Ovis aries: one gene and its partners. The main gene of each other region encodes a partner of the protein of the gene in region 3 in a complex. Links are inferred from orthologs where the notes say so. Each region holds a gene or a part of one and is shown on either strand. Other genes may lie near its edges. The genes, in order: RHOG, DOCK5 and ELMO1.

The links.
Region 1: the proteins of ELMO1 (region 3) and RHOG are in contact, whole or in part, in a crystal structure (PDB 7Y4A), measured with the Homo sapiens proteins. The link is inferred for Ovis aries from reciprocal best matches to the Homo sapiens genes ELMO1 and RHOG. Residues at the interface, in NP_001193409.1 of Homo sapiens: Lys9, Val10, Ala11, Glu13, Tyr18, Pro19, Leu21, Met22, Ala54, Asn71, Gly72, Ile74; in NP_001656.2 of Homo sapiens: Val36, Phe37, Asp38, Trp56, Tyr64, Arg66, Leu67, Leu70, Ser71, Pro73, Gln74.
Region 2: the proteins of ELMO1 (region 3) and DOCK5 are in contact, whole or in part, in a cryo-EM structure (PDB 8JHK), measured with the Homo sapiens proteins. The link is inferred for Ovis aries from reciprocal best matches to the Homo sapiens genes ELMO1 and DOCK5. Residues at the interface, in NP_001193409.1 of Homo sapiens: Ile7, Val8, Lys9, Ala11, Tyr18, Pro19, Leu21, Glu23, Glu36, Asp39, Gly40, Ser42, Asn71, Gly72, Gln392, Asp393, Leu400, Glu401, Lys468, Arg531, Glu535, Leu536, Lys539, Leu547, Gln550, Gln551, Asn554, Arg555, Asn582, Thr688; in NP_079216.4 of Homo sapiens: Met1, Ala2, Arg3, Trp4, Val14, Ala15, Ile16, Tyr17, Asn18, Ser22, Gln23, Gln30, Ile31, Gly32, Asp33, Thr34, Glu39, Tyr41, Gly43, Trp44, Arg46, Tyr48, Lys56, Ile58, Pro60, Glu61, Thr62, Tyr63, His65, Leu66.

What each region holds. Positions count from the first base shown.
Region 1 is NC_056068.1:49,994,322-49,998,644, forward strand, and holds the start of RHOG (rho-related GTP-binding protein RhoG), read left to right. Parts: upstream 1-1,379; 5' UTR 1,380-1,989; exon of another isoform or gene 1,990-2,007; intron 2,008-4,323.
Region 2 is NC_056055.1:40,236,157-40,239,805, reverse strand, and holds part of DOCK5 (dedicator of cytokinesis protein 5), read left to right. Parts: intron 1-2,957; coding exon 2,958-3,126; intron 3,127-3,649. UniProt on the Homo sapiens protein: Guanine nucleotide exchange factor (GEF) for Rho and Rac. GEF proteins activate small GTPases by exchanging bound GDP for free GTP. Along with DOCK1, mediates CRK/CRKL regulation of epithelial and endothelial cell spreading and migration on type IV collagen.
Region 3 is NC_056057.1:62,040,949-62,043,558, forward strand, and holds the end of ELMO1 (engulfment and cell motility protein 1), read left to right. Parts: intron 1-665; coding exon 666-866; 3' UTR 867-2,064; downstream 2,065-2,610. UniProt on the Homo sapiens protein: Involved in cytoskeletal rearrangements required for phagocytosis of apoptotic cells and cell motility. Acts in association with DOCK1 and CRK. Was initially proposed to be required in complex with DOCK1 to activate Rac Rho small GTPases.

The DNA of each region.
Region 1 (4,323 bases), on a different chromosome or scaffold from region 3:
ACAGCACTGGGAGAGACTACCAAGTGCAAGCCAGAGGTGGCGTGTGTGTGTGTGTGTGTGTGTGTGTGTCTCGTTGGAGGCAGTGATCCATTGTGAAAGGCTGAGTCTATTTCGCCAGGCAGTCAATACAGAAGTTAGGTGGAAGGAATAGAATGCACAAAGACCCAAAGATATGGGCAGGCACGTTGTGTTTTGGGAACTCATTCTTACATTAACACGATTTTTAAAAAGAGGAAAAGAAGCATTTGGAGTGTTTACTGTGAGCCAGCCACTGGCAGCAGGCCTTTTACATCCATTCTCATCTTCACAACTGCAGGATGAAGGGGATGTCATTCTAAATTGCCAAAGATAGAATGGAGGCTCAGAAAAGTTGAACAGTTTATTCTAAGAGTTGTTCTTCCTCTTTCTCTGGAAAGCCTCTTGGAGACAAGGAGCCTTTCGTTAACGTCTCTGTTTTCCTCCACAGCACCTAGCACGCAGCCCTCCACGTGGTAGGCACTCAGAAAGTTTGTGTTGGACGAAGAATATTTTCTCAAGTCAGAGCTCCACGCGCAAGGCCTAAGAGCAGAAGCACCAGAGGGCGCCCACGAGTCCGCCCACCCGCCCATCCCCAGGGCCCCGGCAGGATTCAGGACTGGGTGCGGTCCTTCTGTCCCAAGCAGTTGCGCGCCCCAGCGAGAAGAGGGGGCGAGGGGAGCCCCACGTCCTGGCCCCGCCCCGCTTCTTCGCCGGAGCCCAGGCGCGCGGAGCCGCCGGGTGCGGAACGACGACACGACATCCTGTTTTTGGGGCCCGCGGCTCCGCCTGCGCCTCTGCTGATCTTGTCTTTCCCCGGGTGCTGACGCCAGCTCCCCTTCCCCCAGTCTCCGCACCCTTCCCAGGGGTCTGGGGCCTTCCCACTGCTGAATCACCGCCACCCCGCGCTCCCCCGGGGCTCGGGGCAGGGGTGGGGACTGTCCCAGCCGGACCCATTCTGGCCAAATCCCAGCCTGGGCCATCGCTCGATCCCGGGGCTTGACTGAAGGCACCAGGCCTAGGGGCGCCCGTTCTCAGCATCTTCTCGCAGGGGTGGGTGGGGGCAAGATACGGTGAGAGGGGCACAAAATCCAAGCGCCTAGGCTAGGGCCTCTGCTGGGCTGCGGGTGGCAAGGAGACTGGGAGGACTGACCTTAGACGCCCTGACCTAAAGGGCCTCAGAGGTAAAGGGCTGGGGTGAGGGAGCCAGCACCCGGCCGGGGGCCAACCGGCTGGGGGCGACCTGGGGTGGGGGGGACCGGCCCGCGGACTTCCTGGTCGGGCCCCGCCCCGGCCCGGCCCGCTCCCGCGCCCCGCCCCGCCGGCGGGCCCGCCCCCCCCACTTCCTCCGGCCTCCCGCTCTCACTTCCTTCTCGAGCCCCGAGCCGCTGCCGCCGCCCCCAGCTCCCCCGCAGCGGGGAGGGCACCAGGTGAGGCCCGGCCCCGGCCGGCGGGCTGAGGGTCCGGGGGAAGGGAGCCCGGCCGGCCCGGGACTGGACGCGAGCGCAGGCCCGGGAAGTTTGGCTTCGGGAGGCCGCGGCGGGAGGTGCTCGGCTCGCTCCAAGTTGGGCGGGTGCGGCCGGCCGGGCGGGGCGGGGACGGGCACGGGCCACTGCGACCCGGCGACGGCTCCGGGAGGGTGGGGGTTCCTGTACCGATGGCGGCGATACCGGCCCCCGGGAGCCGCGAGGGACTCCTGAGGTCGGAGGGGCTCCCGCTCCGAGAGAAAAGTCTCTTGAGGGGAAGAGCTCAGAGCTGGGAGATGAGACTCAGAGATGGGGTGCCCCCAGGAGTTGCGGGAGGGCTGTTCTGAAGTGTGTTGAGGGGAAGGGGCCCCTGGGCTAGAGAACTCCTCTGGCAGTTGTGACACTTGTGAGGTAGAGAGAGAGGCTGTCTATTGCCTCTGAAGCCCTGGGCTGCGGAGAAGGAGCTCCTTCGCTGGAAGATCAAGGCCAGTCCAGACTGCAGCCCAAGGTCCTCTGTGCTCAGGAGGTGGGGGAACCCCGGTCGACCCTAGTGCTTCTCTCTGTGTGTCTCTGTCTGAAGCAAAACCTCTCCATCTCTGGAACGGAGAAACAAGTATTGTAGTGAGCAAACATCGGCTGTGCCTAGCTGGCCGATGCCTGCCACTGCTCATTGGCGGGGTAGACGGAGGAAGGAAAGGAACCAGGTCTTCCCCTGTTACAGAAGTGGAAGGGCTCTTACTCGGAGGTGCTGATCATCCTTAGCGAGAGGGCCTCACTGAGAGCAGGACTGTTTTTTAGGAGATGGAGAGAATAGGGCTTCTGGGAGGCCACAAAGACTCTAGCCTTGGAAAATGATGAGCCATCTCCTAGTCTTCCCTCTCCCCCATTGTTAGTCCCTGAATTCTACATGTTATTCTGTCTTCCTCCATTCCTTCTTCAGACTCTACCCGCGAACCCTTTGTCACCCTCTTCTCGTATCCTCTTCAGTTGCTTTTTCCCCAAACACACAGTCATGCCTGGCCCCTGACCTCTCCCCTGCCCTGCTTCTCTGTCCATCCTTGTCCTCTCCCTGTGGCCTCCCTGCTCCCTTCCTTGCCCAGCTTCTGGCTCCGCACACATATCCACCCTCTTGATTCTTCCATCTGCCCTCACTGTGATGGATCCCTGTCTTCTTCCCTTTCAGTAATGAATCTCCCGCTTTGGGGAACTGGACCACCCTAGTTCAATGAGGTGGGCTGCAGCCTCCCCTTGATAAAAGTGATGAAGGGTTTGGAAAACCTGTAGATGTGTATGTGCGTGCAAGTGTCTACATGTACATATCTTTATCTTTTGGAGACAAAATAACTGCCCTCAGCCTTGAGAGGGCCCAGAGCAGGGGAAGCCAGCAGAATGAAGGGAACCTGCATTGGGTGAGGTTGTGGTTAGGTAGGAGGAAGCAGTCTGTAGCATTCGGAGTATCAGGGTAGAGTGACACAATATTGAATAGGACTGGTGAGAGAGGCCGTGGGAAATCAAAATCTCCCAGACCCTTAGGTGCTTGGTCAAGAGGCCAGGCCTGGAGCCTGGGGGACAGCCTAAAAGTCCCTGACTCCATTGCTCACTTGTTCCAGCACCTCCTGGTGGGGAGAAGGGGACCAGGTCAGCTAGGTGTGATGGAAGGAAAGTACAGGGTTCAAGAGGGAAGACTATGGCTGGTTTAACTTCAATCTTAAATGTCTTAGTTCCAGTTCAGGAAAAAAAGAGGGGTATGAGGCAAAGGTGTCTGCCTGCTCTTTCCTGCTGCTTTCAGGGCCTGCCCAGGCCAGATTCCACGTGCCCTGGGCTGCATCAAAGCCTTGGTGACCAGGAAGCTCTCTAGAGTTCTGCTTACCCCTCTTCCTCAGGCATCCTTAATATTCCCCCTCTCACCTAAGAGCTTATTCCCTCTCTTTTGGGAGTTTCTTCCAAGTCTAACTGAAATCCAGCCTGGCTCTTTGTAAGCCTTGCTGTCTCCATTCTAGAGCCTTTGGGATGCATGCTGAGAGATCATGCTTCCCTCTCTTCTCAGGCCTACTCTGTTCATTTCTCTCCACTAGAAGAGAAGTGGAGGAGAGCAAGTGCTACTTTTGTGGGATTCCCAAGCACAGCTAGGTTTAAGGGCCATTCCTGTACCCCATTATGTCTCCTTCCCTTCTCACAGTTGTCTGTTCCCATGATTGTTTCCTACTGACATTCTGGGAGGTATAGAGTTTTGGCCCCAGCAGGAAGTCCCAAGGACCTGCATAAAAATCCCAGCTCAAGGGAAGACATATATGCAAGGAATTTCCCAGCATCAAGGCTCAGTTAAAAAACCACCCAGGAGTCCTGACTTCCCACCTACCAAACCAGTACTTATTTTAGATAACTGAGCAACCGACAGGATTCTAAGAGAAAAGATAGGATGGATGAAACAGGGGTTCTCCCAGACAAGACCTGGCCCCACTGAAGATTTGAGCTAATTGCATGAAAGTCACCACCGGAAAAATATAACCAAGGTGCAGGGAATCTAAGTGGGGAAATATTTTGCAGAGGGTGGAGGTGAGGAATATGTACCTGCTGTAGGAGGCTGCCATTGAGGTCTTGGCTAAAAAAACTATGGTCAGGGTCTCTTGACATGAAGAGAAGTGACTCAGGTCAAGATCCTGGTTGAGAATCTAGGATACGGAGAGTTGTTTCTGGCAAGATGTTACGACAGATGAAGTGGCTGGCGTAAATTTTTAGGGGGTCATGAGCAGGAAGATTTTAGAGGTTGTGGCTGTAGTGAGACAGTTGGGAAGATATTAGAATGCAGGTAGCTGAGCAACTGAAAAGAAGATGGGGGGCC
Region 2 (3,649 bases), on a different chromosome or scaffold from region 3:
GAATTTATAATTGTATTCAAATAGAAAAGCATTGCACGTACCATTTTGTGACCTACTGCTTAATTTTATATAAATGATGAATACTTAACATCACTGTGAATTTTAATGTTGACTCTAAGTTAAATCTTTTGACTTAAAACTTAATTTATAATCTTTTAATTTCATGCTATAATAGCCATACCACAAAAATAACCTGTTCAAATGGTCTTCTACCTGGAAATTAAATGTTTTTTATTTCTTAAATTATTTATCCATCCTTTTACATTGACATAGTTATCTTTACATAGGTGCAGATTAGCACATGGATAGAGTTTGGTAATTTGCTTTTTCCTCTTTGTCTTTTTATTATAAGCACTATTCATGCTGCTATATAATTTTTTTTCATCATTTTTGATGGCTGTTTATCACTGTAGCATATGAATGTGCCATAATGAGTTCTTCTCCCTATAATGGGACGTTTTAGCTGTGTCACTCTAAACAGATAATCATAAAAGTTCATTATAAATTTAATATAAAAGCATTTAGGTTGTATCAATATAAAATGCATTTATATTATTAGTAGCATGTATTTGTGTATATTTAGCTTTACGCTCACTTAAGATATATTCTCATATCATTTCTAAGCCTTTTGGTTAACATGGAGTATAGGATGTACTTCCAAAAGCATGTATGACCTATTCAGGAGAGGTTTTTTTTTTTTTTTTAATTTTTATTGGAGAATAGTTAATTTACAATGCTGTATTAGTTTCAGGTGGACAACAAAGTGATTCAATTTTACATATACATGAATTCAGTCTTTTTTAGATTCTTTCTAATTCTTACTGTATTATCACAAATACTAATATGCAATGCCATATGAAATATATGAGTGGCTATATCATTTTTCATAATATATTCACTTACATTAGGTATTGATTATTTTTAATCTTGTAAATTCCTAAAGATTAAACAATACCTGGTTTGCTTTTCTCTTTTATGGTTTCCGTCATGCTGTTAAAGAGATAATACTTACTTTGTGGAAGGGCTTTCCTGGTGGCTCAGATGGTAAAGAATCTGTATGCAGTGTGGGAGACCTGGGTTCAATCCCTGGGTTGGGAATATCTCCTGGAGAAGGGCATGAAAATCCATTCCAGTATTCTTGCCTGGAGAATCCCCATGGAAAGAGGAACCTGGAGGGCTACAGTCCATGGGGTCACAAAGAGTCATGTAGAAGTTCTGTTCTCTTCACTAAGACTCTTTTCTTAATTGAACTCTGGCCCATTAAAAAAAATTTTTTTTTCAAGTAGCTGTTGAGAACCAGAGACCCCCTAATTGCTATCCATTAGGGCAGTAAACAGAGCAGATGACTGGGGTCCTCTTCTTGCTGTGACCCCAGGCAAGGTGGGTTATTGCTCTTGCCCGCATTTGCCCAATGAATAAGAAGACATCATTGAACTTCCCTGTCAGTCCAGAGGTTAAGACTCTGTGCCTCCAATACAGCGGATGTGGGTTTGATCCCTGGTCAGAGAACTAGATCTCACATGCTACACAGGGTGGCCAAAAAAAAATTTTTTTTAATTAAAACAATGCTTACTATTTTCCCCTTTATAACTTTATATTTTTTCCCTTTATAAATATGCAGTTTAGGGAGAGATATTTCAAAATATCTCTAGACTCTCTTGTTTCTCATCAAATTCTTCCCCTCTGTATGTTAGCATCTAATCATGATTCTTACTATGGCATTTAAAATTTGTCAGTGTAATTAAAAAAAATTTTTTTTGAGCAGTTCTCCTATATGCTGGGGCTTCCCAGGTGGCACAGTGGTAAAGAATCAAAAAAGACAAAAAAGACACAGAGTCGACCTCTGGGTCGGGAAGATCCCCTGGAGAAGGAAATGGCAAAACCACTCCAGTTTCTTGCCTGGGAAATTCCATGGACAGAGGAGCCTGGTGGGCTACAGTCCATGGGGTCACCAGGAGTTGGACATTCTGAGCATGCATGCACCTATTTGCTAGGTACTGTTGTAACTATTTTGTAATAACCCTTTGAAAATGAAAGAAGTATTAGTTGCTCAGTTGTGTCTGACCCTTTGAGACCCCATGGACTGTAGCCCACCAGGCTTCTCTGTCCATGGCATTCTCTAGGCAGGAATACTGGAGTGGGTTAGCCATTGCCTTCTCTAGGGGATCTTCCCAACGCAGGGGTCAAACCTGTGTCTCCCACTCTGCAGGCAGATTCTTTACTGTCTAAGCCACCAGGGAAGCCCTAATAACCTTATGAGATAGATATTATTATTATCCCCATTTTTACAGATAAGGAAACTGAGGTATGAAAAAATTATCTGCCCAAGATCACCCAGCAAGTAAATGTAGGTAAGATTTGAATGCAGGCTGTAGGGCTCCAGGACTTGTGCTCTTATCCACTATATAATGCTGCCTGTTCATCTTTTACTCCCTTTACTTATAAGTTTAGGTAAGATCTTATCTTCCTAGCATAAGATAAATATTCACTAGTATGTTCTTGACGTGCTTGGATGGCCTCATTTCTGTACTTAGACCTTGAGATGTTCATTTGGCAGTTGGAAGTTGGATTTAGAACCTGAGAAGGAAGCCACAGGTTAAAGTGCTGTTGAAAAGTCGTATCCTCTGGTTTTTGGGCATCAGTTTTCACTATCAGGTGATCAGTATTTTCTGACTTTGTCCTTGTTTGTAGCTGACAGTTCAGTCTTTTGTTTTGCTTTGTTTTTTTACATGTAGTTGATTTATAATGTTGTGTTAATTTCTACTGTATTGCAAAGTGACTTGGTTATACATCATATATATTCTTTTTCATAGTCTTTTCCATCATGGTTTATCACAGGATACTGAATAGAGTTTCCTGTGCTGTAAAACAGGACCTTGTTGTTTATCCAGCCTCTTTTACTAGTTTGCATCCACTCATGCCAGCCTCCCAATCCTTTCCTCCCCAATCCCTGATAGGTCCGTCCTGGAGCCACTATTGGAGCGCAGGGCCTCGTCAGGGGCCAGAGTGGAAGATCTGTCCCTCAAGGAGGAGAGCGAGACTCGGATGAGCAAGTTCAAGATTAAAGACTGGAGTCTGAGCAAGTCCCAGGCCACCACAGAGAAAGTGCCAGAACCTGATCTGATGGTAAAAACAAAAAACCCAAAACAAGATGACTGTAAGTTTTCCGCCATGTCCCCTGTAGGCAGGCTTTTCACCATTGACATCATAACTGTGAGTGACTAGGCTGAAGCCTGTCATGCTGTCTCAGGACACAGCAGCCTGGGGATGGGCTCAGATCTCAGATGGTGCTAAGAAAACCAGGTACAGAGATCTAACTTTCTAAATCAATAACGACACAAGATCTACCCTCAGTGAAAATATGTGGATTGACGCTTAGGGTTGTGGTTCTCCCCACCATGTTCCATGAGCCCATCCAAACATTGTCATTTCCCTTCTTTTAGTTTAAAAAAAAAAAAAAAGTACTTTTTCTTCCATAAGCCACATCATGTTGTTAAATGTGGTGGGACCAGATATCCCTGAGAATCAGGGTGGCTCATCTCCAAACTAAATGACGCAGCCCATTGGCTAGTCAGAAGATAGTCTGTGGACCAGGGATTCCCTATTTGTGTCTTCACCCTCGTACCTTCCACGTTCTAGTGCGGTAAAT
Region 3 (2,610 bases):
ATAGACTGGCAGCTAAGCCACCTTCCATTAAAATCACCCAATAATTTTAGTCATTTTGTCCACCAGACCTTGGGCAGCACTGAGCTATTCCTAAATCTTTTGCTAAGAAATACAAAGGTGGGACCACCGTTAGCCCCAGGTTGGGGTTCGACTATCGTTTTGAGTGCAGAAATCAAACAGGATAGTCAGATATTAACTCTAGATTAGAACTTTGCTCGGAGTCAGGAGAGTTTGATCTGATGTCGAGTCCAGGAGTGTTAGGATATATTCTACCAATACCTTTAACTCTTTGATTCAGTGGTGGGATGTTAGAGATAGTCTGTTGCACAGGCAGAAAAAACTCAAATCCTCCTGCTGCTGTGTAGGGAGGCATTATTTATATGGAAGAGTGCAGACAATAGAGGCAGATTGCATAAGTTCAAATCCCACCTACTCCACGTACTGCCAAGTGACTTAATTTCTCACTGTCTCAGTTCCCTCATCTGTAAAACAGAGATGCTAACAGAAGTGTCAGCTTCATAGAGGTGCTGACTATCAAATGATGATGTAGGCAAAGCCCTTAGCACAGAGCCCAGCCCTTGCTGAGTGATCAGTCGGTGTTAGCTGTTGTTACTCCTCTCGCCGTTGTCATCAGTCGTTCTCATTGTCACCTTCTTTCTCCCCAGTACTGCATCTGGACAGATGGGCTGAATGCGCTGCTGGGGAAGGACATGATGAGTGACCTGACACGGAATGACTTGGACACGCTGCTCAGCATGGAAATCAAGCTCCGCCTCCTGGACCTGGAAAACATTCAGATCCCCGACGCGCCTCCACCCATCCCCAAGGAGCCCAGCAACTATGACTTCGTCTATGACTGTAATTGAAGCACCCTGGGCCCAGATGCACCCCCTCCAAAACTGGAAGATTTAGCTAATAGGAGAGAAGAATGAAAAGGCGCCCACACCGTGGAATCCGCTGTGGTCAAGGGACGCTGTGGGTCCACACTTCCTTTGGCCTTGCCTCCTCTAACTCTGGCATTTTTCTGCCCCTCCGTGGCATCCTGCTCACCACCCCGATTCTGTTTCTAGACTCCATTGCTTTAGGTCACCTCCCGTCGCTGCAGTCGAAGGTGGGAGAAAAGCAAAATCCACCACCAATGAGAGAGCCAAAGGGCCCTTCCATCTTCATTCCAGCAGGCAAGTCCTCCCCTCCTAGAGGCTCCAAGCCAGCAGCCCAGACCTCCTCCCAATCTGCAGCCAGACACAGGGGTGTGCCTCAAGCTCTGGGTCTGGAAGAACCGGAAACGATCTAGCTACTTGAGAAGACAAACACCACTCCTCGTTCCCCTTCTCTCTAGGGTCTGCTCACACCACCAGTTCCATGTGAATTGAAATCTGCTTCTAAATGCCCCCCCTCCCCCATTCTGGCCTCTGCCTGCCCACTTCCTCTCTGGTCCCAAGAGCAGCAGCAGTTGCCTCATCCTAGTTCTCGCAAACGTTGGGTCACCAGACACAATCTGAGGGTCCCGTGGCCACATCACGTCTGCCCTGTGACTGTGACCACCCTTTCTGTCTCTCCGCTAGTCTTGGGTTTCTTCTCCCTGCCCCAGCCCTGACCTGCCTTCTTCATTGCCACATACTCCTCCAGCCCCTTAGCTGAAAGCACAATGCTGAAATCAGTCGTCCTGCTTTATCTCTAATGTACTAAATCTAAAAGCCTCGATGATAGGCAGTTGCTTTGTAAGGGTCTGGGAGGTTCTGCTGCAACACAGGTTCCACAAGATGGTCAAACTGTCAGACATCCAAGTTTACATCATTGTAGTTATTACAGGTATTGACAATTTGCAAACGGTTTGGGTTGTTGGTTTTGGGGGTTGGTGGTTTGTTTTTTTTTTTGCTTTGTTTTTGTATAAAAGAGTCTAACATTTTTTGCCAAACAGATATATATTTAATGAAAAGAAGAATACATAAATGTGTGTACTTTCCAGGTTTTTTTGTTTAATTATTTGAGTCCTAAACATCTTCCTGAGAATAACATTCCTCTAAACATGCTGTGGAATAAAATTAATTGTGATGAGTTGGAGAGCTGATGTTTTGATTTGGTAATTTAGGTTCTGCTGCTCAGTCATCAGCATCACTGAGAGCTTGTTGAAACTGCAGAATCTAAACCTCACCCCAACCTTGAAGAATCAGGTGATGCTCATGCATATTAAAGGCTGAGAACCACTGCCTTTGGGGACTCTTGACCTTTGCTGGAGGCTCTGAGCATCAGTAAAGAATGATCCTTCTAAGAAGACCATCTCAAGTCAGCTAGAGAATCAGACCTACTTCATAAAAATATAATGTAGGGACTTCCCTGGTGGTCTAGTGGTTAAGACTGCGCTTCCACTTCAGGGGCACGGGTTTGATCCCTGGCCAAGGAACTAAGATCTCACATGCTGTATAGTGATCATATTAAATACTTTTTAAAAAACAGATATTTAAAAAAATTAAAAATATGTATTTATAATCTATTCATTTTACACTGTTACCTCCTGACTGACTTTATCTTTTATTTTTTTCTTCCTTACCATTATATAATTTATAAAACTGTCCAAATGAAACACACCACACTTTGAAGGCACAAATT